Linked DNA regions of Oreochromis niloticus. The main gene of each other region encodes a partner of the protein of the gene in region 2 in a complex. Links are inferred from orthologs where the notes say so. Each region holds a gene or a part of one and is shown on either strand. Other genes may lie near its edges.

Evidence for each region.
Region 1: ppp4r4 (region 2) and smek1 share a complex: the UniProt entries of both Homo sapiens proteins name them as parts of the PP4 complex. The link is inferred for Oreochromis niloticus from reciprocal best matches to the Homo sapiens genes PPP4R4 and PPP4R3A.
Region 3: ppp4r4 (region 2) and ppp4r3b share a complex: the UniProt entries of both Homo sapiens proteins name them as parts of the PP4 complex. The link is inferred for Oreochromis niloticus from reciprocal best matches to the Homo sapiens genes PPP4R4 and PPP4R3B.

What each region holds. Positions count from the first base shown.
Region 1 is NC_031980.2:12,515,304-12,523,484, forward strand, and holds the start of smek1 (serine/threonine-protein phosphatase 4 regulatory subunit 3), read left to right. Parts: upstream 1-4,897; 5' UTR 4,898-5,889; coding exon 5,890-6,031; intron 6,032-6,211; coding exon 6,212-6,267; intron 6,268-6,358; coding exon 6,359-6,457; intron 6,458-6,605; coding exon 6,606-7,223; intron 7,224-8,041; coding exon 8,042-8,119; intron 8,120-8,181. Other genes in the region: paplnb (papilin b, proteoglycan-like sulfated glycoprotein), read left to right, coding at 1-101; erh (enhancer of rudimentary homolog), read left to right, coding at 1,257-1,259, 1,701-1,788, 3,120-3,240, 3,338-3,446. UniProt on the Homo sapiens protein: Regulatory subunit of serine/threonine-protein phosphatase 4. May regulate the activity of PPP4C at centrosomal microtubule organizing centers.
Region 2 is NC_031980.2:26,952,344-26,960,793, forward strand, and holds the start of ppp4r4 (serine/threonine-protein phosphatase 4 regulatory subunit 4), read left to right. Parts: upstream 1-5,266; 5' UTR 5,267-6,181; coding exon 6,182-6,289; intron 6,290-8,450. Other genes in the region: ankyrin repeat and SOCS box protein 2, read right to left, coding at 3,100-3,269, 3,666-3,946. UniProt on the Homo sapiens protein: Putative regulatory subunit of serine/threonine-protein phosphatase 4.
Region 3 is NC_031978.2:10,561,602-10,569,087, forward strand, and holds the start of ppp4r3b (serine/threonine-protein phosphatase 4 regulatory subunit 3B), read left to right. Parts: upstream 1-4,241; 5' UTR 4,242-4,531; coding exon 4,532-4,673; intron 4,674-5,205; coding exon 5,206-5,261; intron 5,262-7,262; coding exon 7,263-7,361; intron 7,362-7,486. Other genes in the region: pnpt1 (polyribonucleotide nucleotidyltransferase 1, mitochondrial), read left to right, coding at 24-87, 174-257, 358-441, 592-698, 1,127-1,182, 1,323-1,401, 1,491-1,538, 1,618-1,773. UniProt on the Homo sapiens protein: Regulatory subunit of serine/threonine-protein phosphatase 4 (PP4). May regulate the activity of PPP4C at centrosomal microtubule organizing centers.

The DNA.
Region 1 (8,181 bases), about 14 Mb from region 2:
AACGAGAGTGTGGAGGTGTGGAAAGGGTGCCTGTATCCACAACTTCAAGAGAAACTACAAGGAGAGCGACACTCAGGGACCTTCTGAGAGCAAGGCCATAACCACATATGCCACTGATATCTCCAAAAGTGCCCAGTCATGCTCCCGCTTTGAAGAAAATCAAGTGATTTTGGTACACAAATGCAGCCTATAGTGTACACCCCAAATAAAGAAAAAAAAGAAAAGAAAAACTAACCACATTATATATTTCATTTAAACATTTTTACCATCACAAATGTTATAGCTCTTGGCCCTGATTTCACTGTCTTTCAGTTTGTTTTTGTGATCTTCACTATGTCATTGTATGCTTTTTTGCCCTGTAAGTCGGGATTAAAACAAAACTAATTTCTTTGTAATTACTCAAATTGAATCATATATCCAATTAATAAATGTTCAGCTATGGTGTAATTTTGAAAAAAAAAAAATGCTTTATTTGCATCTTCATTTCTTGTCGGACATCATTACTGACATGTCAATACACAAGCAGGATAATAGTAAAAGCTACTCTGAGGTGCTCCCAAGTTCACAAGGGGTCACCACAACAGCTAGCTCCAAATGTATGCTGGATGTCTTTCCTGATGCAAACCTGAAGAGATTTGTGTGTCCTCTCAGTGATGAATGAGAGATCTTTCTATGTTATGTGAATGGGTAAACAGCTACACTATAATTGCTACAATTTAGATTTACATTTTTTTACACATGAAATAATTAGCAAGTGAGCTCACAAACTCATTAGGAAGGTAATTTATTAATTTATTTCCCACAAACTTCTGTACAACCAGAAGTCTTTTATGCAGGAGACTTGCAGGGGCTGACAAAGCACTCGGCCCCTGCTGGCCATTAAAAAGTAAGGCACCTTTAGATCGCTTCTCTGCTGACTACACTTTTCAACCTGGATCTATTTTTTTTTACAATGTCTATGATAATTTAAAAGAGAGAATTTAGAATAAATAATGTGTACCTTCACAAACAAAGTCTACTGAAAAAAACCACCTTTTAATCATTACCGTAGCATTATCGGACTTTTATTTTGAAGCCAAAACTATACTTTGGAGGGACTCAATTTTACAACCGGAAGAGTTCTTTTTCACTTCCCCTAAGTTTTTTTTTTAGACCAAACAGCTAAATCGCACGGGGTACTGAGAAGTTACGCTGAATACGATTTTTTTCAGTTTTGCATAGCCAGTAAATAGCGAGGCTTTGCGTTGAAAACAGAGATGGTAAGTGTGCTTTATTTTACATCTAAAGAGCTAATAATTCTCAGTTTAGGCCACACTAGCTTGTGCTAATCACACACAGCTAAGCTAACAAGCGTCGAGGCTAACGCTTTGCAATTCTTGTTAAACACGCATTTTTGCCCACCGCTTCTGTGTTTCTTATAACTTAATTTCATCATCTAATCAAATTACATATTTTTATTAAAGTGAGATGTGGCTGAAGTAACGTTAGGCTGGATGTTTTGTAAAAGACTGATGAAGTCGGTGGTCTGCAGCTGAATGACCATCCTTACACTGGAGTTGGAAAATGTCTGGGCAGAAGGTTACACAAGTTTCAAAAACTCGCAAAAAAAACCTCTAATTAGCTGCCCGATTAAGGTGATTTGGTTTGACACAGAGAAACTGCGTGGCGGTGTGTATTAAACATTATCAATCATTTTACAGTCGCACACAATTTTGCTTGTCCAACCAACCAAGAGACCAGAGGGCCGCACATACGCTGACTATGAGTCAGTTAATGAATGCATGGAGGGTGAGTCTGTTTAATGTTTTCATTCATAATTCATCTCGCAGTTTTTTTTAATATTTACTTTCGTTGTAACAAGTAGTAGCAGCAGATGTAATTGTATTGTATTCATCATCTATTGTGATTCCTCATTCATTTTAAGGGATATTTTTCTCATAGTAAATACATACAAATGATAGGCCAGTAAATAATAAATTCATCCTAGTACCAAGTATTGTTTGTGTATGGGATTATGTGGTTAAGCCTAATTTGTGAAAAAAACAGACTGATAGTAATCACTTTTTAGTTTCTGGAAAGTAAAAAAGAGAACGTGAGAACGGACATGTTTTTTTTGTTTTTTTTAAATTATGTGACTCTTTAAACTATGGACTCAGGAAACCTGAAATTCATTTTTTTTATGTCAACATCCTACTTGTATAGCACAAAAAACTTGTAAACTTGTGCTTACTATAAAAGTTTAAAAACAACAACAACAAAATGTAATAAAGAATACAAAGGGTTTTAAATCTGTTTTTGAATGTCGTGTGTTTGCGGCTCTACATTAATGGATTTTGAACTGCAGTTAAGCTCTATTGAACAGAGATTAATCAAGGTTCACTTACACAAAGAATAATCATTGGTATCATATTCAGAACTGACTGTGATAAAAATACATGAATTTACTCAAGTTATCCATTACGTAGTAATGGGGTTTACAGATAATAAAGGCATTAAAGGGATATGATAAGTAAGAGGTGTTTACAATTGTGTTGTCTGTCTTGAACTGCAGTATACACTTTTCAGATTAAAACTACCTTATTAATCCCAGAGGAAATGATGTGGTCACAGTTGCTTTAAGACAGTAAGAACAGTAAATAACAAATTAATGTACCAGTTAAATACAGGATGTTTCAAAATGGCTCTAATAAATACAGATCGCTCTGATATATAAATATCCCAGGCTATTACACAAAATAAGTATAGGTGATGTGCCCTCTCATCATTTTAACTTTATTTTCTCTGTAAAGGATGTGACATTAACGGTATGCAGCTATTGCTGTTTGTGCACTTCTTTTTTTTTCCTTTCTTTTTTTAAAAAGCTTTTTTGGCTTTATTTTCATGTTCAAAGTGACGCAAAAGGTTTGTTTGTTTTCAGGGTATAAGTATATCACTTTATTCCCTTTATTAGGCCCTCTTTATTTATCCTGTCTTTCTCTTTCACTGAATACTGTACACCGTAATTCGCTATGAATTACTTTTGTTTTTTGCTGTTTTAGCCTTTTCCTGTGGATTGCATTTTTTTGTTGTTGTTTTTGCTGTTTTGCTTCCATTCAGCATGTCATCTGCCTCTCCCCCAGGTGTTTGCAAAATGTATGAAGAGCATCTCAAGAGGATGAATCCAAACAGTCCCTCCATTACTTATGACATTAGTCAGTTGTTTGACTTTATTGATGACTTGGCAGATCTGAGCTGTCTTGTGTAAGTATAATTAGCTGTCTATGAATTTGAATGCAACACAACATTCCCTTTGGATGCATTGGTCACATTTCAATAAAATATTTTACTTTTTATGCAGATATAGAGCTGACACTCAAACATATCAACCATACAACAAAGACTGGATAAAGGAGAAGATATACGTCCTCTTGCGGCGTCAGGCTCAGCAAGCGGCTAAGTCAGTTTGACAGGGGGGATTCTTTCATATTGTACCAAACATGAGGAAGAGAGATTGGAAAAAATTGGGGGATGTGAAAAAAAATTGGGGATTTTCTTTTTGGAATTGTCATCCTTGGCAGCGTGTGTGTGTGTTTGTAATTTGTAATGCAAAGCCCTTTTCAGACATGGTTCCACCACTGTGCTTAAGCGACGGCACTTTTTTCATTCAGACACGTAAGCTCTTTTCACACGTGCACTGCAGCCTGAAGTCTTTCTTGACATTACCTGAGAGAGGTGCATGTAAGAACACAAAGGTGTGATGCAGTTGGATTGGACATTAAATGGATTTCAGCCTGGAACAAAATTCATGTGATGTGCATAGAAACTTAGTAGTCATATTGTGTCTTTTCTATAGGATATTGCTATCATGCAGCTCCCTCGCCTAAACCACATGGAAGGCTTGCTTTTGTGTTACGTGTGAGAAAGAAAAGTTTACACAATGTCCTGATATGCCTGTTCCAACATTTTAAGTTTGTGTGTGACAACGGCTATACTGGCAAAAGTGTCATTGATCTCGCAGGACATTTGCCATACATGAATTCATTCGTATTCATTACCTTTTGAAAGTAATACATTTAAAAAAACTAATAAGGTTAGTTATTTAATTATGAATCTGACATGTGCCATCAAATGGCTTAAAAGGACTACATGTATGAAAAGGGCTTCTTTCTTTTTTTTCTTTGTAAAGACTGCATTGCCCATTTAACAAAGGGAATGTTTTCACATCATGCTCATTGGCAAAAGAGGCTTGGAAAAAATGGGGTGAAATTGTACATTTTGGGCTTTATACTGAAAAATTGGGTCATGGTTGGGAACCTGCATGTTTATAAGTTGTTACACTATGATGAGAAGAATGGGACTTTGTGGGCTAAGCATGGAGAAATACTCCGCGGGGTAGAAAAACTTTCTTTGTGTGTGTTTTTCAGTTTCCTTAAAAGTTATGTGAATTTTATTTTTTTCCCTATGTACATTTTCCTGGGAGGTTGAATTTCAAGACGTTGTGGACTTTGAAAGCAGCCGTTTTATTTTTGAAGTAGATCAGTGGCTGAAGACTGATGATCACATGACAACCCAGGAGATTTGTTACTATAATTAATGGAAAGTTTTGAGTTTTCATTATGTTTTAAAAGCCTACCATTGTGATATAAAACGTTTTTGTAATCCTGTTGTTTTGCATAACATCTGATTTCAACTCTCCATTTCTGTTTTCTTTTATTGAAACAAAATAAACGATTGTTTCTGACTGGTGTCCACTCATAAATATGCGACCATTAGTGCGATGAACACTGAATTTTTATACACAATGATAGTGTGGCTGACTGCTAAGTATTGCAAAAGTTAGACCATTCATGCTGGACGTGGCCTCAAGTTCAGTTTATTTTCTCTGTTACTGTCTCTTTAAATGTGGCGGGCTGCCCTGTTGTTGCCGTGCTGGAAACCCCGTACTGACTGTGAAGGGACCCAAGATGGCTGAATACTCACGGGGGGCACTTAGCAATTATCTGAGCAAGACATCGGCAATGAATGGCAAATAGCAGTATAATGTAAAGCGTAACCTTCAAGTAATTATACGACTCCAGTTTGTTGGTTTGCACAGTTTTTGGGATGCATGAGTAAGAGTAAGGAGAGAGTGGTCTCTCCGCGGCCCCGAGCCAGAACATGGCGGAACACTTGGGGAAGAAATAGCAGCTAACGTTAGCTAGCTGGCGTATTATTTAAAGAAGAATAGAAACATTGTTCCAGGCTTAAAACGGGTGTCTGTTGTCCGCAAGTATAAAGTAATGTTATCGACAGCTAACTCTAGTTAATCTGCTTCAAATGGTAGTTTAACATTGAATATATGGAGCGTAGGTACTTAGCGTACTAGCTAGCGAGTTAACTCGTAAGGGTTGATAGCTAACGTTACCTGTAAGCGTACAAACTGTACATATAAGCAGGAGTGTTTCGTGGGCCAGTCATCGTAACATTTGCTTCTTTTTCAGTACTCTGTTCTCAGCTGTATATTGTAGTGACATTCGTTGTTTTGTCGTTTAACGCGTAAGCTAACGACGTCCTCCGCTCTTTAATTTGTCGTTAGCTTCCTACAATGGTTTGTACGCGGATTCTGCGTGGCGCCTTGCCTATAGTGCTGGCAGTCTAAGTTTTGAGGCAGCTCGTCAAGAAATGCGAGATATTGCAGTAGTAATTTTAACAACGATTGCGGAATCCTGCTGGAAAGTTGTTGAGGCGTTCCACTTTTAAGTTGCTTTTTAGAACTTATCCTAAGTGACCCCCCGCCGCTTCATATTTAGTTAATACTCTTGTAGAAGTGAGCAGCTGTAAAAAGTGAATTGAAGTTGTGGCGTTACTAGGTGAAGAAGACACCCCGTAAAAGGCCCGGAAGGGGAGAACGGGTTACAAGAAACTGCCAGGATGACGGACACTCGTCGGCGAGTCAAAGTCTATACCCTCAATGAGGACAGACAGTGGGATGACCGTGGGACCGGGCACGTCTCGTCGGGCTATGTGGAGCGCTTGAAAGGCACGTCTCTCCTGGTGCGAGCAGAGAGCGATGGTAAGCGAACATAGGAATGCCACGCGATTATTGTAGTAGCTCAGTTATTACTACAAAAACAATACCTTCCGCGCACTAATTTTAACCACCTGTATCACCTGAAATTTGCACATGTATTACTCGTTTGAAGCAAATGCAGTAACCTACAATTTTGGGCTACCTTTGTGTTAAACCTGACAGGTTCCCTTCTGCTGGAGTCCAAAATTAACCCAAACACAGCCTACCAGAAACAACAGGTCAGTACATAACATGATGAACATACAAAACTGAATTTTTTTCCCCATTCTGCTGTTTATTTTAAATTGGCTTTGTTTTTCTTTTGAAAAGGACACATTGATAGTGTGGTCAGAGGCTGAAAATTATGATCTAGCACTCAGTTTCCAGGAGAAGGCTGGCTGTGATGAAATCTGGGAGAAAATATGCCAGGTTAGTGTACTTCATTTGTGTGGGTTTGAGTTTTTTTTTATCTCCATTAGTTTGTGGATTTGATGCTATTTGTGTTACCGGTGATCCCTTATGTAGTTACATCCTGAGGTTCTAATATGTTTGTCCACACTTATGTTTTATTGTTAAGGTGCAGGGAAAGGACCCTTCAGTTGACATCACACAGGATGTGGTGGACGAATCGGAGGAGGAGCGTTTTGATGACATGTCATCCCCAGGTTTGGAATTACCGCCATGCGAACTGAACCGTTTGGAGGACCTGGCCGAGCTGGTGGGCTCTTCTCTCCCATCACCACTGCGACGTGAAAAACTAGCACTGGCTGTGGAGAATGAAGGCTATATTCGCAAGCTCCTGGAATTGTTCCGTGTTTGTGAGGATTTGGAGAACAGAGAGGGACTGCACCACCTGTATGAAATAATGAAAGGCATCTTCCTGCTGAATCGTACTGCACTCTTTGAGGTGATGTTCTCTGATGAGTGCATAATGGACGTCATTGGTTGCCTGGAGTTTGACCCAACACTCCCGCAGCCAAGGCGGCATCGTGAGTTTCTCACTAAAACAGCCCGGTTTAAGGAGGTGATCCCCATCTCTGATCCTGAACTGCGTCAGAAAATTCACCAGACATATCGGGTGCAGTATATTCAGGATATGGTGCTGCCCACGCCCTCTGTTTTTGAGGAAAACATGCTGTCCACCTTGCACTCCTTCATCTTTTTCAACAAGGTGGAGATTGTGGGCATGCTACAGGTGAGATAAGCAGACATGTAGTATGATCTAATAGTATGGAGTTGTTGTTTTTACTTTGTGTAAACACTACATTTTAATTAAAATGGTTTAATTGAAGCAAGTGTTATAAATAGGTAAACTTGTGAATGTACTGTAATCCTCACAAAGGAGAATTTCTTTTATGAAATGTTAGTGAGGCTCGAATTACAGTAATTATAGGATTGTACATTGGTTTTATTTTTGACTGATTGTACTTTTACCCTGTCTGAGATTGTCTGGCAGCCTTTTATGATCATGTGACCTTTGTGTTTTTATCCTGTGTCAACTCAGCATTGTTTATGTATGGCTGTCTCCATGGAGGCACAGTAGTGTTGTGTAAATCTGTTATGCTGCGCTAGAGGAAAACTGAAACGGGCACATTGTTGACTCTGGTGTTCTTTGCTATATCACGCTCTGAAGTCAAACACTACAGATATGAGTCTTTCCTTCCTTAATTAGCATAGGGCAGGCAAGCTTAAATCAAGCGGTTCACTAACCAAGGTTTTAAAAAATATTTAAAGTGGTAGTAGATGTCATTGAATGAGACAGTGTTTTCAGCATAAACAAATCAAAAGTATTCTTATGACCAGATAGGTCACATTGTTTATGCTCCAAATTTCTCATTGACAAACATGATGGAATTCACTTTTGTTTTCTGTGTAATTATGTCGGACTTGTACCATTGTAAACCAATAACAGCTTTGTAACTTGTGAAAATTGGGTGTCTGGCATACATTGACATATTAATCATACTCTTAATACTGACTTCTTAAAATCTCATCTCCCTTTTTTGATGTCAGGACGATGAGAAGTTCCTGACAGACCTCTTTGCACAGCTAACAGATGAGGCCACAGATGATGACAAAAGACACGAACTGGTATATCAGAATTTAATAATTTATTAAAAGTTGTTGCAGTCACAAACTATTAAGATCTTTGT
Region 2 (8,450 bases):
GAAGGCTGCACAGAGGGTAATTAACACCACCCAAAAAAATCTCTGGCTGCCCTCTGCCAACCATGGAGGTCCACACCTCCAGACACTAACTTACACTAACAGCTTCTTCCTCTGGGCCATTCCAACTGTAAACAGGCCCTATCCCCCCACTCCCAGGCTCTGTCCAATCACCTCACAAATCTGAGGCATGGTATGAGTAACCCACAATTTTGTTGTACATGTACAATGACAATATAGGGCTATTCTATTCTATTTCTGAAGTTTAACCAATTGGTGTGTGTTATCTGGCTTCACAGATAACACACACAGTTGGGTGTCATCTGCATAGCAGTGAAAATGTATGCTATGCCTTCTGATGATACTGCCCAAGGGAAGCATGTATAATGTAAACAGAATTGGTCCTAGCACCCTGTGGAACTCTGTGGAAGAGGACTCTCCATTTACATGAACAAATTGGAGTCTATTAGATAGATATGATACAAACCACTGCAGTGCAGTACCTGTAATACCTACAGCATGCTCTAATGGCTCTAATAGGATATTATGGTGGACAGTATTGAACGTTGCACTGAGGTCTAGCAGGACAAGTACACAAGTACAGAGATGAGTCCACTGTCAGAGGCCATAAGAAGGTCATTTGGAACCTTCACTAAAGCTGTTTCTGTGCTGTGATGAGCTCTGAAACCTGACTGAAACTCTTCAAATAAGCCATTCCTCTGCAGATGATCTGTTAGCTGTTTGACAACTGCTCATTCAAGAACTTTTGATATGAAAGGAAGGTTGGAGATTGGCCTTGGTTAAAGGGTCAAATGATGCCTTTTAAAGTAATGGTTTATTTACTACCAGCTTGAAGGCCTGTGGTACACAGCAAATGATAAGAGAGAGGTTGATCATATTCAAGACTGAATCATTAACTAATGGTATTACTTCTTTTAGCAGTAGCAGTAGTCTTTCCTACAAGATTTCCTTCGGTTATAACCTGCTCTCAGTAACAATGTCACGGTTCTGGGTCCGTTGGACCCAGTATTTTGAGTTATGGTTTGGTTTAATTTTGAATGATGGATTGTTTTCGTATTCTCTTGTGATGGTGATGATTATTAGTTTCTTGTTTCTGTGTTTAAGGATTTGTGGTTTCATGTATTGTTTGAGTTCCATGTGTTTTCTGTCTCTCAGTGTCAAGTCTGCGTTCTTGTTTAGTAATTCATGTTTCCTGTTTTATTGTGAAAGTCTTTGTCTTATGTTAGTGTGTGCAGCTTGGTTCCCCCCGTCTCGTTAGCCCTGATCTCTCCCAGCTGTGTCGCCCTCCTGTTGTCCATTCCCTCATTACTACCCTGTGTATATAAGCCCTGTGTTTTCCCGTGCTCGGTGTCGTGTCGTACCATCAGATCGTGCCTGTGTGTTCACTTCATGTTTTGTTTTCGTACCAGCAATAAAGCTGAGGTTTTTGAGTTTCAAGTTAGTGTCTGAGTCCTGCGCTTGGATCCTCCTCTCCGCCTGCCCGCACGCAGAGCCCTGACAAACAAGGTCTACAGATGTCTTTAATTTCTCAGCAAGTTTAGTCAAATGGTTTAATGTAAGCATCCTGTCCTATTATGACACTTGAAGCTGAAGCATCACTGACCTCCACATGACCTCTCCTGAAGTGATTAACCACAACATAAGAGTCTGTCTTGTGGTTTAGAGGTCAGATCTCACATCAACTGATCACTGAGCAAATGTGGTGAAAAACCATTGACTATATAACAGGCATAGCCTCTCTGACCTCACTCATTGGTTTGCGGGTTTTGTTTTGTTTTTTTCTTTAAGTAAAAAGTGACCATATTTAAGTAAGAATGTTAAGCTGGTAGGGATTCCTGAAAACTGATTGGATAAACACCTATGAGGCCTAGTATTTACATAAGGGCTGAGTTATTTTTTTAAAAAGAACTCTGCCAATACGATCATTCCAGGAATCCTGGCTGACAAACTACAACAAAGACTCCACTTCCTTAGGATGCTGAGGAGAAACCATCTGGATAAGAAACTAATGGTAGCTTTTTACCACAGCACCATAGAGAGTGTCCTCACCTACTGAATCACAGTTTCGTATGTTAATTGCTCAGTAGCGGACAAGAAGAACCTGCAGAGAGTCATTAAGACAGCACAAAAGATCATTAGCTATCCCTTACCCTCTCAAGAGGACATAGCCAGCACTTGGCGTTTCAGGAGAGAAAAGGAGAAGATCGACGCTGACTTGTCCCACCTTGGACAGCACCTCATGCCCTCTGGTAGGAGGTAGCAGTGTTTAAAAGGCATTACAGCCAGGCTGAAAAATAGCTTTTTTTCCTGGGCCATCAGAACATTGAACACTAAGCCTAGTGAATGGACCTAGTGAGCCTCACTTACCAACCCTCAACCTGCAATAGTCCAGTTAATATTCAGTACAATGTTCACACAATGTTGCCAAATTTAACATTACATCATAGTGCAAAACACCAGCATGACATGGCACAATATACAATAACACCCACACTCAAGGGCTGCTGCTACCTACCAGCAAGAGCCCTTTTTGGCAGAACTGTATTTATGTGTATTTAACTTGTATATTTGCTATTTTAATGTTAATATACTCACTCTTTTATTTTTACTATCTTACTATATATAACAAGTTAACCATTTTAACTACATGTACAATTAAAATGGGTCCATGTACAGGACACAAAAATCTGGATTTCCCAGAAGCTTATGATCATGTCACCCTTAGAGTAAATTAATAAAGGAGCCTAACATTTTGTTGCATATCAGCACATTTTTCCATCATGAATGAACAGTGTGGATATAAAAACATAAGCAGGTGAATGAAGCTGAAAATCTGAAGAGGAAACATCTGAAGTCAGATGTCATGTTACAGACATAAAACTGGAGGGTTTGCCCAACCGTAGCTCAAGCTTTTGTTCAAGCAGAAGTTTTTTTAATGTGAAATACAGATGACAAATCAACCTTCACATAAAACACAAAGTAAAGCTTTATTGGTGATTAAGATCACCTTTAACTCCTGAAGTAAGGTAAGTAGCGTTGTTAGAGGCTTAATGAGAAGCAGAAAGCAGTAGGTGTCCTGACCTCTGACCAGGATCCTAATGCACTGCAGCTGTCCATAATAAGCAGCTTCATGAAGAGCGATCCAGCCTTCATCATTTGGCTCCATAAGGCTGCTTAACCGCCTCCGGACCAATTCCATCAGAGCCTCTGCATCCCCACTCATGATGATGGACTGTAACGGACTGACCTCTCTGAGGGAACACACAAACCTTCAGAACGACAGACTTGGAACCAGAGTCAGATCCAACACAGAGCCGCTGCGCTGGAATCAACACAGAGTCAAAACCACGATAACAGAACCAACAGATAGTCAGAACAAACACAGAACAAGAGTAGAACGACAGAGTCACAAGCACAGAGCAAGAACTAACACAGAGTTAGAACCACAAGTCAGAAACAAGCCCTCCCACCTCCTCACACACACACACACACACACACACACACACACACACACACACACACACACCCTGCAACCATCTCCAGACTGTCTGACACTCACTCTGAAATGTCTATTGATCTCTTGCTGCTTTCTGATGTTTGCGGATGTTTCCATCCTCTGAGCTCCATTTCATTCCGAACTGACTCACCTCTTGTAGACCTTGTAGAGAAACTGTGACAGGGCTGTGGGAGGGTTTATACAGTTTTGGATGTGGGGGACAGGTTCAGGTGCAGAAACCGTTTGCACCCTTTTGGAGGGGTCAGGACCTCTGTGTGTGGGGTTAGGGTTTGTTTGGATTGGGCCTGATGATGATGATGATGAAGCCTGTTTATCAGACAAGCTTCTCTCGACAGCGATCTGCAGCAGCTCCTCATCTGCCAGGTGACTGTAGATGCTGTAGTCATCCAGGTTCTGCTCAGAGACTGCCATGTCAGACAGAGGAACAGGAAACGGTTTGCTGTCTGTGTTTCTCGTTAACGCCAGCAGCGTGTGGACAGCAGTGGGTCATCCAAGGTGATGGCGTTTTGGCCTCAGCTGCTGCTGAATGATGTCAAGACTGTGGGTCAGCGGTGTTTGTTTCCTCCAAGCTGAAGCCAAAAATTCAAACACTGTGAGAGCTGGTGTCAGCAATATCTACTGTCCTGCACCCGAAAAACAGCCTCCACCAACAACACAGATGGAAACAGGATCGATGCACATAACCAGGCTCACAACAGCCCAGAAAACTACTAACTGATTTGTGTTATCAATCCTTTAAACCCGGTCGGTCAACAGCAGCCTGATAAAATTTGAAAGACTCAACTACTAACCCATCTCACAGATTTAAATTCAATGATTTCAAACACACAAATTTAACCTAAATTAATTCTAAATCAGAATCATTTAAAAATTGGTAAACACAGAACTGACTGTTTGATTTAAATCTAAATTTGATGATAAAAACAAAACAACATTAAAGTGGATTCAAGTGTGGTTTGAAGTTCCCCATATTCAAACATATAAAAATAAAATAAAACAAACTGTTGATTGGGTACTACCTGTGAAACAATCCAATCAGGAAGCAGCACTCTCTGGTCTGCAGCAGAAGGTCCTGGTTCAGAGTCCGAAGGTCTGATCAACTCTGAGCTTTCATGAGCCGGATCGTCAGCCAACTCTGACACTGAGACTGCAGCTGAAGGTCAGCCCCTGTCCTCCTTCTCCTCCTCCTCCTTCTCCTCCTGTCTGTCTGGTCTCACCTGTCCCCATCTGTTTGCATTATGTGTTTTTGTCTCGGTATGACAGTAAGTGTAACTTAAGTGGCTCACCTGCCTGCTCTGTCCCAACTACAGGTCATTCAGAAACCTCTTAGCATCTAACAAAGGGCCAACAGGGCTAACCTGTGATTACCTGGCCTAAAATGGTGATTGAACACAGAGCAGGAAACAATCTCAGAGCTTGACAGGTGAGGCATTCATCACATAAGCTGTGAGCTTCATGTTCACGTGAAAAAAAAAAAACATTTCAGAAAAAAGACGAAAAACCTGAATGCAGAAAGTGAAACACCTGACCCTGCAAAATAAAACAAATGAGTGCGGATCTGAAGCACGTGACGTGGATAGTTTTATTTGATGGTTATTGAACTTTCAGGTGCGTTTACAGGTGATGGGACAGCTCAGAATGAGAGCGGGTTCTGGATCGAAGACACGTTCTGGACTTTATGAATGAGCACGGACAGCCGTTTCCATGGAGACGGATCAGCTGCTGCACTGCGTCTCCAGCTTAACACCCTGCAGCTCATCTCCCGGTCCCGGTTCAGGTCGGGCTTGCAGCCTCATGACTCCGTTTAGGTTGGCTCAGCCCGCTCTGCTGCCCACGTGTCACTCACGGTGATGAAGCCTCCTCCTCTTCGTCCTTTGGTGTGAAAATCAGCCTCATACCGTCTCTGAGCTTTGACGCTGCCCGGTACCAGTCTGCGTATGACAGACCAACAGAGTGGGCGATTCGGTTCGGTTGTGCACTGTCGAGGATGACGGACTCAAAGGAGCACGGAGGAGCGCAGCCGCAGTTCTGCGTGACGCTCCCACCGCAACCCTGAGCTGAAGCAGGTGGAGAAGATCTGGACTTCGTCAGAATATTTGGAGATGTGCGCCGAACCAGAGAGGGGGTCCATCTGATTCATCCCGCGCCCGGTTTGTGCGGTTTCCTACATTCAGTCTTTAGATTTACTCCGAATAAATTTCGTGTGCGGAGTTTTGGACTGAGGGTGGTGTGAATGAAGAGTCCTCGGGGAATAAAAGAGTTAACTGGAGCTTTTTACATGCAGTCTGGCTGCGGCTTCTCTGCGCTGCACTTGATCTGCTTGGAAACGTGTGACACATCCCGGTAACGGTGTGACGGTTTGGGATGTTAGGGGGGATTTTTCTGGAGGAATCGCAGTTCTGTGAGCGCCGAACCGCAGATCGTGCCGTGAGTGTGTGGACGGGTTTTGTTTGGGATCTCTGATAGCCCTCATCGTGTGCAAATGAGCGCATTCGTGAGACTTTGTCAGACTTTTGAACGGAGTCTGGAGTGACGTTCAGCTCGAGCAGGGATCTCCTTGGAAACGGTTAGTGACAGATCCGCAACCCCCGCCCCCTCAACAGGGATGGTCGGAGCTGATACGACTGCTCCCCCTCTAGCAGCCAGATGTTACCCGGCAGGATGGCCCTGAGCCCAGCTGGCGTGCTGTGCGGCCCGCTGGAGGAGCTGCAGGAACTCGCCTTCATCGAGAGGCCGATCCGTAGGAGCCTGAAGGTGGGTGTGTGTGTGAGAGAGAGAGACGTAAAGTGATGAGGAGGAGGGTGAGTTAGTGGGAGGAAGATCAGCAGTCTCAGTGGAAGAAGCAGAAGGGAGACCCGCAGCATGACGCAGTTAGTCCGCCTGTCTGTCTGCAGAGAGACAGATAGGTCTGAGGTGCACCGAGAAAAACGGCCAATAACTGGTCGATTAATCAGTAATCATGAGAAACAGAGTGAAGCTGTCTCTGATCTAATTTAAGACAGTCGCTAATCATGACTGATCAGTAACTGAAAAGAAACGCGCTGCCTGGTTCTTACACCTGTAGCTGTGTGGGCGGGGTTTCACCATGATGACAATGGGGGGGGAGGCGGAGCTTGGGTGTTCTTACGGGAGAAAGCTGATGCGATGACGACAAACACACCTACACTGTGTGCATGTGTATGTGTTGTTATGGGTGACAGTGGTCAGTCAGACCTCAGGTGAGCTTCTCCGTGTCCTCTCATGACCTTCCTGCACGTGCAAACGCTCAGGACAGTTCCTCATTGACAGACGTAACCTGGAATTATCTGTGTTGCGCCCATAACAAGAGCTGTTCCATTTCTCCAAACACTAAGGAAAGGAGCTTCAGTGCTTCCTTTATTGCTTCCTTTAGCAGAGGAGACACTGGAGCATCCTTTATGAAAGGGAGGAGAAAAAGCCAAATCTTAATTCATAGCATCTGATCGTTCATGAAAACAGTCAACATATTAAACAAAGTGAAGCAGATCATGAGAACATTCATCATAGCTGCATTTTCCATTTCAGGATTAGAATATTTTAATAATCCCTAAGGAAATTATGTGGTTTCATCCATAACCCGTTGATATATTTATAGTTTTTATAGCTGTTAAACTCACAGCTGAGATCTGAACATTACACAGCTGGAATAAAACTACTTCCGGTTGAGTTGTTGCTCCATGAATGCATAACGCTGTATGAGCTCAAGATTATGATCTATATCAGGGGTGGGGAAACTCCAGGCCTCAAGGGCTGGCGTCCTGCAGGTTTTAGATGTGTCCTTGATCCAACACAGCCGATTTAAATGGCTAATAACCTCCTCAACATGTCTTGAAGTTCTCCAGAGGCCTTGTAATGAACTAATCATTTGATTCAGGTGTGCTGACCCAGGGTGAGATCTAAAACCTGCAGGTCACCGGCTCTTGAGGGCTGGAGTTCCCCACCCCTGATCTATATGAGCAGATCAAAGTGTGTGTAAGGTTCTGTATAATCAGTGATCATTAGTAATCATTAGTAATGTCCTTTGTTGTATTAGAGGCTTTAGGAGTCATGTTTACTTCAGGTCAGGTGGGATCAGTGATGATGGAGACAAGCAAAAAAATAATAAATAAATACCGTATACACAAGATAACTGCCAGAGGGCAGACGCTTAAACACCTGGTGTCCTGGGTTTGTGCAGTCCTGCAAGATGTTGCGTGCCTTTTTGAGACAGCGGATGTTACAGCGGTCCTTCAGTGATTTTCTAGGCCATGTTAGCAACCCTTTTTAATCAGAATACTTTAATAAGGAAATTGTGTGGGTTACAGTTGATCCAAGACAATAACAGTAACAGATAGTAAATAATACTATATAATCCAAAGTTTACATAATATAAGAAATAGCTCTAATATATACAAATAGCTCAATTATAAATATGCCTTCTTGTGTGCCATGCTGCGGCTCAAGAACTACACAGAGATGCAATACATCACCACACCCTCAAAGGCCTTCTTCACAATTTCCAAGGTGTTTGAGCTCCATTGGAGGTCTGTGTCCATATCAGAATCAGAATTAATAAAGCATTCTGATTCTGATTCTGATATACACATTCAAGAGCTTGAAGCTGGACACCCTCTCCATCCACTCTATTGACGTAGATGTGCTGCAGGTTGGACTTCCTCCTCCTGAAATCAGTGATCAGTTCTTTGGTCTAGGGGTGTTACGGATTAAGTTGTTGTCTGCACACTACCCTAGCAGTCTTTGGACCTCATCCCTGTAATTGTAGGATGATTTATTAACAATGGGCTGTAATTTAGTAACAAAGATGCAGCCAGGTAAAAATCAACATTCTGCCAAGAGCAGCGTGAATTAGTGGCTCAAAAATCAATTTTATGCTCAGGTTTTTCTATCTTTTTAAATA
Region 3 (7,486 bases), on a different chromosome or scaffold from region 2:
ATTTTTCTTTATTTTACCTCCAGGCTGATGTGAAGATTCCTGGGTTGCCACTGAAGGTGGTCATGGAGGCAATCCAACAGGCCACAGGTAGGCCCAAAACTGAGAAATATACCCTGTATTAAAATTTTATTTGCATGGCTCTTTTGTGGCATTTGCCTGTTGTTGTGTTTCAGTGGCAAAGAGGGAAATCTTGGGCATTATGAACAAATGCATAGCAAAACCCAGAGAGAGCAGGAAAGAGAATGGACCTGTTGTTGGTAGGTTATGCATGAATATGTATGTATACAGAAATATGCAATATTTAATAGAAAGTTTTTAATGTCATCTGTTCCAATATGTGATGTTTTCTGTCTTCAGAAAATGTTCGAGTACCTGTCTCAAGGCGAGCTCGCTTTGTTGGCCCTGGAGGCTACAACCTCCGCAGGCTTCAAGCTCAAACAGGTAATGCATAAGTAATAAAGTCTGAAAAAGGCAACTTGGAATGTGATGGTGACGTGATGCTAATCCAGCAGCACACAGATTCGTTTTTTCATAATAGAAACTGTTGTCCAGAATATAAAAACGTCACCACATTTTCTTCTTTGGTTTCAGGTGTGACAATAAGTCAGGTAGACGAGGAGACTTTTTCCGTGTTCGCTCCAACACCAGGAGCCATGAACGAAGCCCAACACTTCATCAGCGAGATCTGCAAAGACGATGTGAGTCTCCCCCTCTTGTAATTACCTTCTGTCTTTATTCAGAGCCTTTCAAAAATTGTGTTAAAATGTGCTCTACAGAGAACCCGAAACAAATTAAAAAAAGAGAAATATAGTATAAAGCTTAAGCAAGATGGCATTTAAACAAAGAAATAAGAGAAATAATCCTGATCAATACACTTAAAAAAACAGGAAAGCTCTCAGCATGCTCTAATAAAACAAGGAAAGAGGTTTTATATTTCTATATTTCTATATTCTGATAGTTTCTTTGCACCCTTTTATGCACATTTATAAACTCAATTGCTGTTTTATACCACAATGCAAACATTACCTGGATAAACAAATCAAAACATTAAGAACAACTGCTTACACATATTACACATATTCATAATGTATGTAGGTGAAAATTGGTGTATTTCTTTGTTTTGCAGCAAGAACAGCAGCTGGAGTTTGGTGCTATCTACACTGCCACCATCACAGAAATAAGGTAAACTAAAACAATGCGTTATTTACCAACAAACAGTGTTTGTTTACAGTTATTTCCCCACACTTGGAAACTGATTTATGTATAAATAAAATCTTGCAGCCTTCATACAGCTCATCTGTTCTTCTGCTCCTCTGCTTTAGGGACATTGGCGTGATGGTGAAACTTTATCCCAACATGACTCCTGTCCTGCTGCACAACTCGCAGCTGGACCACAAACGGGTTTGTGAATTTGTCTGCGTAAAATGGTTTTCCTTTTGAGTCTGATGGTAGAATTTTTACTTAAGTCACTTCCTTTATTTTCCTTTTAGATCAAACATCCAAGTGCTTTGGGTTTAGAGGTGGGACAGGAGATACAGGTGCGTCTCGGTTACTGCAGACAAGGCATTGCTAATTTCAGTCTGGGATGCTTGTATCTAAACTGTGTTCTGCTAACAGGTCAAGTATTTTGGACGGGACCCAACAGATGGCAGAATGAGGCTTTCACGGAAGGTGCTCCAGTCTACTGCTGCAAGCGTCGTAAAGAGACTGAATGACAAACAGAGCATCTCCATGGGTTCAAGCGACATGCAGACGACCAGTACAGATTCGTGACACTCCCCCATGACTGCCTAACTTCTGGCTTTTCTGTCAGAGTAGACTTGGACTGAGTCAAATTTCCCTTTTCAAACAACAGATCTTGTTATGAACTATACATAAAGAAGGTTACTCCGCTGCTGAGAGTATGGATGTGGCAAAAATGCTGCTGACATCATGCCTCGGAGAATTTGCACAAACAAAGGGATAAGACGAGGAGGCAAACATTTTCAAAAATACAAGTGTCTACCCATTTTCATGCTCTGTTGTTTGACTGTATCAAAGTTTTAAGATTTTTCTTTCATTACACAACAACAGTGCTTCTGTCATTCACGTGTGTGATAATGTTGCCTCTTGAGGCATATTTGGTATGTGCTGTAGCAGTGTGTCCACTAAAGAAAAGAAAGGCAAGTGGGTGACGTGTTAAAGAGAGGTGTTTTCTTAATCTTTATATGGTGTCGCATTTATATTATATGTGAGTAACTAAAATGTAAATAAATAACCAGCCACGGGTGGGCCACATGCCAGTGTACTCCTAGTGCTGTTACCAACCATGGATAAATAGGTCAGGAAGGGGATCCGATGTAAAATCTTCAAATCAAATATGTGGATCGTCAAGAATGAACGACTACCAATGGTGCTGTTGACCAGCAGGGTGCTGGTGGAAACTGCTGTGCAAGGACAAAGAAAGAGGAAAGAGGGAGGCAGCAGGAGAGAAGGAAAGGTTTGGAAATGAGAGTTGGGACTTTCTGTGTCGGGATTATGGAGCTGCCAGAAAGGAGGAAAAGAGAAGCTTCATTAATGTAGAGAAGGAGGACCTGCAGAGAGCTCGTGTGGCAGAGAAGGATGTAAGCGATAGGGTGAGCTGAAGGCAGATGATCCACTATGGCAGCATCTAAAAGGAGTAGCAGTATGGAGACGTAATATGTAAATAAAGTCATTAATGATTGCTTTATTCATGTCTTTAAGTCAACAAAACACCTTCCAACCATGCCAGAATGTACTGAGTGCATGCTTGTCAAATTTTCTTAATAAAAAGCTGATTTAATTGCATGTTTCAGTGGCCACATGCAGGCACACAGGTACTGCTTCAGCATGTTTTAAAAAAGACATTTGCTTCACAATAGGAAAGGTTCATCCAGTGGGTCCTTAAAAGAAACTGGATGGTGGAGATGATAACAGGAGAGCTGTAAAATTTCAACATTTATTTAAAACAATTTATTGCATAATATTGGACAGGGAAAGATCTAATAACTCTTTGGAGTCTTACAGAAGAATTAAGTGTTTCTCTGTTCAGCCTTAATCTAAAAGTCTTAGTCCTAATATGTAGGGTTGCATCAGGAAGGGCCTACAGAGCTGGAGAGAGGAGGAATGAAAATCAGTAGAAGCAAGACAGAATACATGTGCATGAGTTTAAATACCTCGGGGCTACCATCCAAAACAACGGACAGTGAACAAGACAGTATACGCAGGGTGGAGTGACTGTCGAGGTAATTTGTGGATATGTTGGACAAAGGATGTTGAAGATGGAGCTTGCCAGACAGGAGGACAAGAGGATGACCTCCGAGAAGATTCATGGATGCAGAGGAAGGTTGGTGTGACAGGAGGATGGACTGTGATGGAGGCAGATGATCCTCTGTGGCTCACCTTTCTCTGCAGAATAGTTTTAATTCAGTCATGTTGGGAGTTATTTGAACATGAACGGCCTGTTTAAGGTCATGCATCTAATTTAGGTCCCAACTTTGAATAGACCAATTCCAAACCTTTGTTTTGTTTTTGTTTTTTTTGTGACATTGAGTGAAGTTTTGGTGTTTTGGATCATTGTCTTGCCACATAACCCAAGTCTGCTAAAATTTCAGATGGCTGGACATTCTCCTTCATGATTTTCTGGTAGAGGACAGACTTCACGGTTTCATCAGCTGCATTTTCCAAGTCATAAAGCAGCAAACCAGCCCCGGACCATCACACTACCGTCACCATGTTTGACTGTTGCTTTGATAGTCTTTTAATTAAATGATAGTTTTACTTACCAAAAAGTTAATCTTTTGTCTCATTAGTCTGAAGAATATTTTCCTAGAAGTCTAGGAATTTATGCCAAAAAAAACATTAAGATTTTATTCCTTTCTCTCTTTCTCTGTAGATCATGGCTTGAAGTGTTGCTTTTTCCAAGAAAAATTCCTCGTTTGTGTAAAAAAAAAAAATTGGCAGTTATGATTGTGATTAATTAACGTGAAAAACTCTGTTAATCTTCTGCGTTAAGTAAGTATCTGCTTCCTCTATGAATTAAACAAGCTGAACCAAATCACATCTGTACATCATGCCAACATCTGCAAACGACTGTGGGTGCTATTACCTATCTCCACCGTAGGTGACGCGGTGAGCTGGGGGAGCCGCAGTTCTGCCATTGGACGATGCCGCCCGGGGGAGGAGACCCCGCGGCAGTTAGCGCTTGATTGACGTAGAAAAAGAAAAAGAACACAAGATCGGATTACAAGATGGCGGTCTGTGGACGTTAGCAAGAAGGCCGTTAGAGTTGTTGTGTTCTCTCAGAATTTTACAGTTTAATATTAGGCCCCTTAATAAGTAGATTCACGTCGTAATATGTTTATGAAATACCTACTAATATATTTTGCTGCTGTTGGGAACTAAATTTAAACATGCATGTTTTATAACATGCGGTTGGAAACAAAGTTAACAGGTCGAGGAAAACACTAGACGGGTGAGGTGATAGCTTGTTAGCAGAAAGCTAGCCTGCTAGCTCCGACTCGTTTAAACCATGTCGGACACTCGGCGGCGAGTGAAGGTATATACGCTGAATGAAGATCGGCAATGGGATGATCGGGGTACCGGGCACGTTTCGTCTACATTTGTCGAACGACTGAGGGGGATATCGTTATTAGTTCGGGCTGAATCGGACGGTAAGTTCCCTGTTAGCATAGCTGTTACGGTGGTTAGCATGCTAACTCCTGGTTGTTCGGAGAGAGCGCTTCGATTGCCCACAGTGGGTACCAGATTACCTTATTAGACTTTTTTTCTACATGTGGGGCAGACTTCACCGTCATAGTGCCAGAACTGTTAATATTAGGCACGTCTCTCAATAAATTGCAAATATTTATTGAATAGCTGTTGCTAGCATGCTCATTAGTTTGGTCCGACGGGATCTCGGTAGCATGGTGCCCCTGAAAGTCTGAACGTATAAACTTGTTATTGCTCTTTGTGGTTCATGTATGTGACAAAGAAAGTACATAAGGTTATTACAGTAGAACCCAAGGCCTGTTGTAGTTATTTTACCTTTGTGTTTGAGCATTTTAGTTTAATTCGATTGTTTTTTGTGTGTGTATTTGCATAGCCATAACTGTTTATTTCTAGACAGAATAACAAACCTCGTCTTTAAAGAACCGGTTTTCTAACTGGCTTGAATATTTAGTCACCTATATCTCTGTGCTTTAGGATCACTGCTATTGGAATCGAAGATAAGTCCTAATACTGCATATCAGAAACAACAGGTAAGTTTTTATTATTACCTGAGTCTGGCTCAGTTACAGATAGCACACACATTTCAATAATCCCAACACTGGTTTGAGATCTGCTGCTGGATAGTTACTGTAATCTAGGCGAGACAGTAGAAATTGGCTGACTGATGCAATTGTAAACTTGGTATCGAGTAATAATCGGGTAATGCCATGAGTAATTACCACACATGCGCCACACCTGTTTGTAAATTAAGGTGTCATTAGAATTATGGCATAAATAAGAAGTCTTCCCGCATTTATAGGTAAGTGTCTGAAAGACAATTTCCACCCTCCTTTAACAGTGAGCTGCTGTAGTTAATGAAACCTTTAACTAATTCAACTTAACCTTAACCTTGTAACTCTTCAGGAGCTGCACAATATTGTCTCATAAATAAAGAAAAATATTTTCCACCTTTTTCTAAATATTTTTGCATGTCTTTAAAATTACTGCTCTTTGTTGAAGGTTGAATAACTTCCTTTTTTTTAGGTACTGGAGGCTGACAGCAGCTCTTGTTCTCAGACATGTTGAGGCGTGTTTTGTTGTTGTGTTTTTTTTTTATGTATCAGTGTTATTGTGATATGACACTTTTATATGACCTAAAAATTTATAGCATTATTAATGATTAAGGTCGAGTCTGGCTAACTTCAGGTTTATTCCTGGATTTCCGGTGTTTTGGAGGTGGTTTACTTCTTATGAAATAGATTACTCTGGTAATTTACACTCCACACCTAATCTCCTCAGGAAAGGGTCATGTTTGAGACAAGAGATCAATTGGATCCCATGGAACAATTATTTCTATGAAATAATGCATGGAAGATCAATTAGAGCTTAGTGTGCAGATAGTAAGAGAATCTGAAGTTTGTCTCAGATCAGCATCGGTAAGAAATAGAGATTCTTGGGGGCAACTTTATTCCTTGCTTCTTTCCTGTTGACTGCAAACAATATTAAAACAACTTTATTGTTGTGTAGGCTGTAATACGTTGAAATGATACTAAAACAGAGAATTTAAACCTTTTCGTTTCTGACGTCATGAAACATTTGCAAGTTGGCTGCTTACCTGTTTGAAAAATTTTATTTTGTTAAATTTTGTCTCTACTTGCCCTTAGACTATTTCAAATTGAGTGAAAGAAGCAGCAAATCTAAATGTGATTAGCTTCTTTTTATTGTAATATAGTAATGAGGTCTTCCCAGATCTTTGACAGTAAGTTTGTTGCCTTAAATTATCAGAATTTGTACACACTTTACTATTTACTTTGATACTTTAATCATTATTACTTTAAGACATATATAACAATACTACAATACTACACAGTGCTTTTCTTCTCACACAGACTGACACTGTTGTTTTGGCTGCAGCAGTTGTGTTGCAGCGAGTCTGTATTATCTGTTTACCTACTTCATGTTATATAATGCTAATTTTATAGCATGATAGTATTCATAAACTATGCCCCTCAGCTGCTAATAGACCGGTTCATGTTTCTGGTTGGTCATGCTGCCATTGCTGCCTCTTTCATGTGAATGTGGTCATAGCTAGATCGGAAAACGCTCGTTTGACTTAGAGTTGATAACCACCTTGGTGAAGCTAGGTACAAAAAAGATATTCTGCATGTGTTTAACTTGCTTTGTCTGTTGTAGACTTTTGTTCAAACCATTTTCATACTCTGTGGATAAGTCACTGTCATGCTAGAGGAGTGCATTCCCACCAGGATAGAAAGCTTTATCCCTCAGATACACTTCAAGGATTTGCACCCAAATCCTGCCAGCAATACATACAAGAAGGCATAACGGAGCCACAAGATCCTCTGTCTGCAGGAGTTAAATGTTGACGTTTTTATTTTCGTTTGCTGCCTGTGTGTGTGTGTGTACATTTGTAGGCATGTGTTCAGTTAACATACAATTTAATGAATAAGTGTGTGTGTGTCTGTAAGTGCCTCCTGTGAAAGAGTTAAGCATGTCAGTGTGTAAAGTTTAATAATCCTTTGTCTTTGTTCCAGGACACATTGATTGTCTGGTCAGAAGCAGATAACTATGACCTTGCACTCAGTTTCCAGGAAAAGGCTGGCTGTGATGAGATCTGGGAAAGAATTTGCCAGGTAAAACTCAAACCAGGAACACACACAGCTGTTTCGCTGATGCTAAAATTCCATTGAACCTACCACAATGGGCAAGCTCTGTTGATCTATTTAATAGTTTATGTGTACTGGACAAATTACTGAGA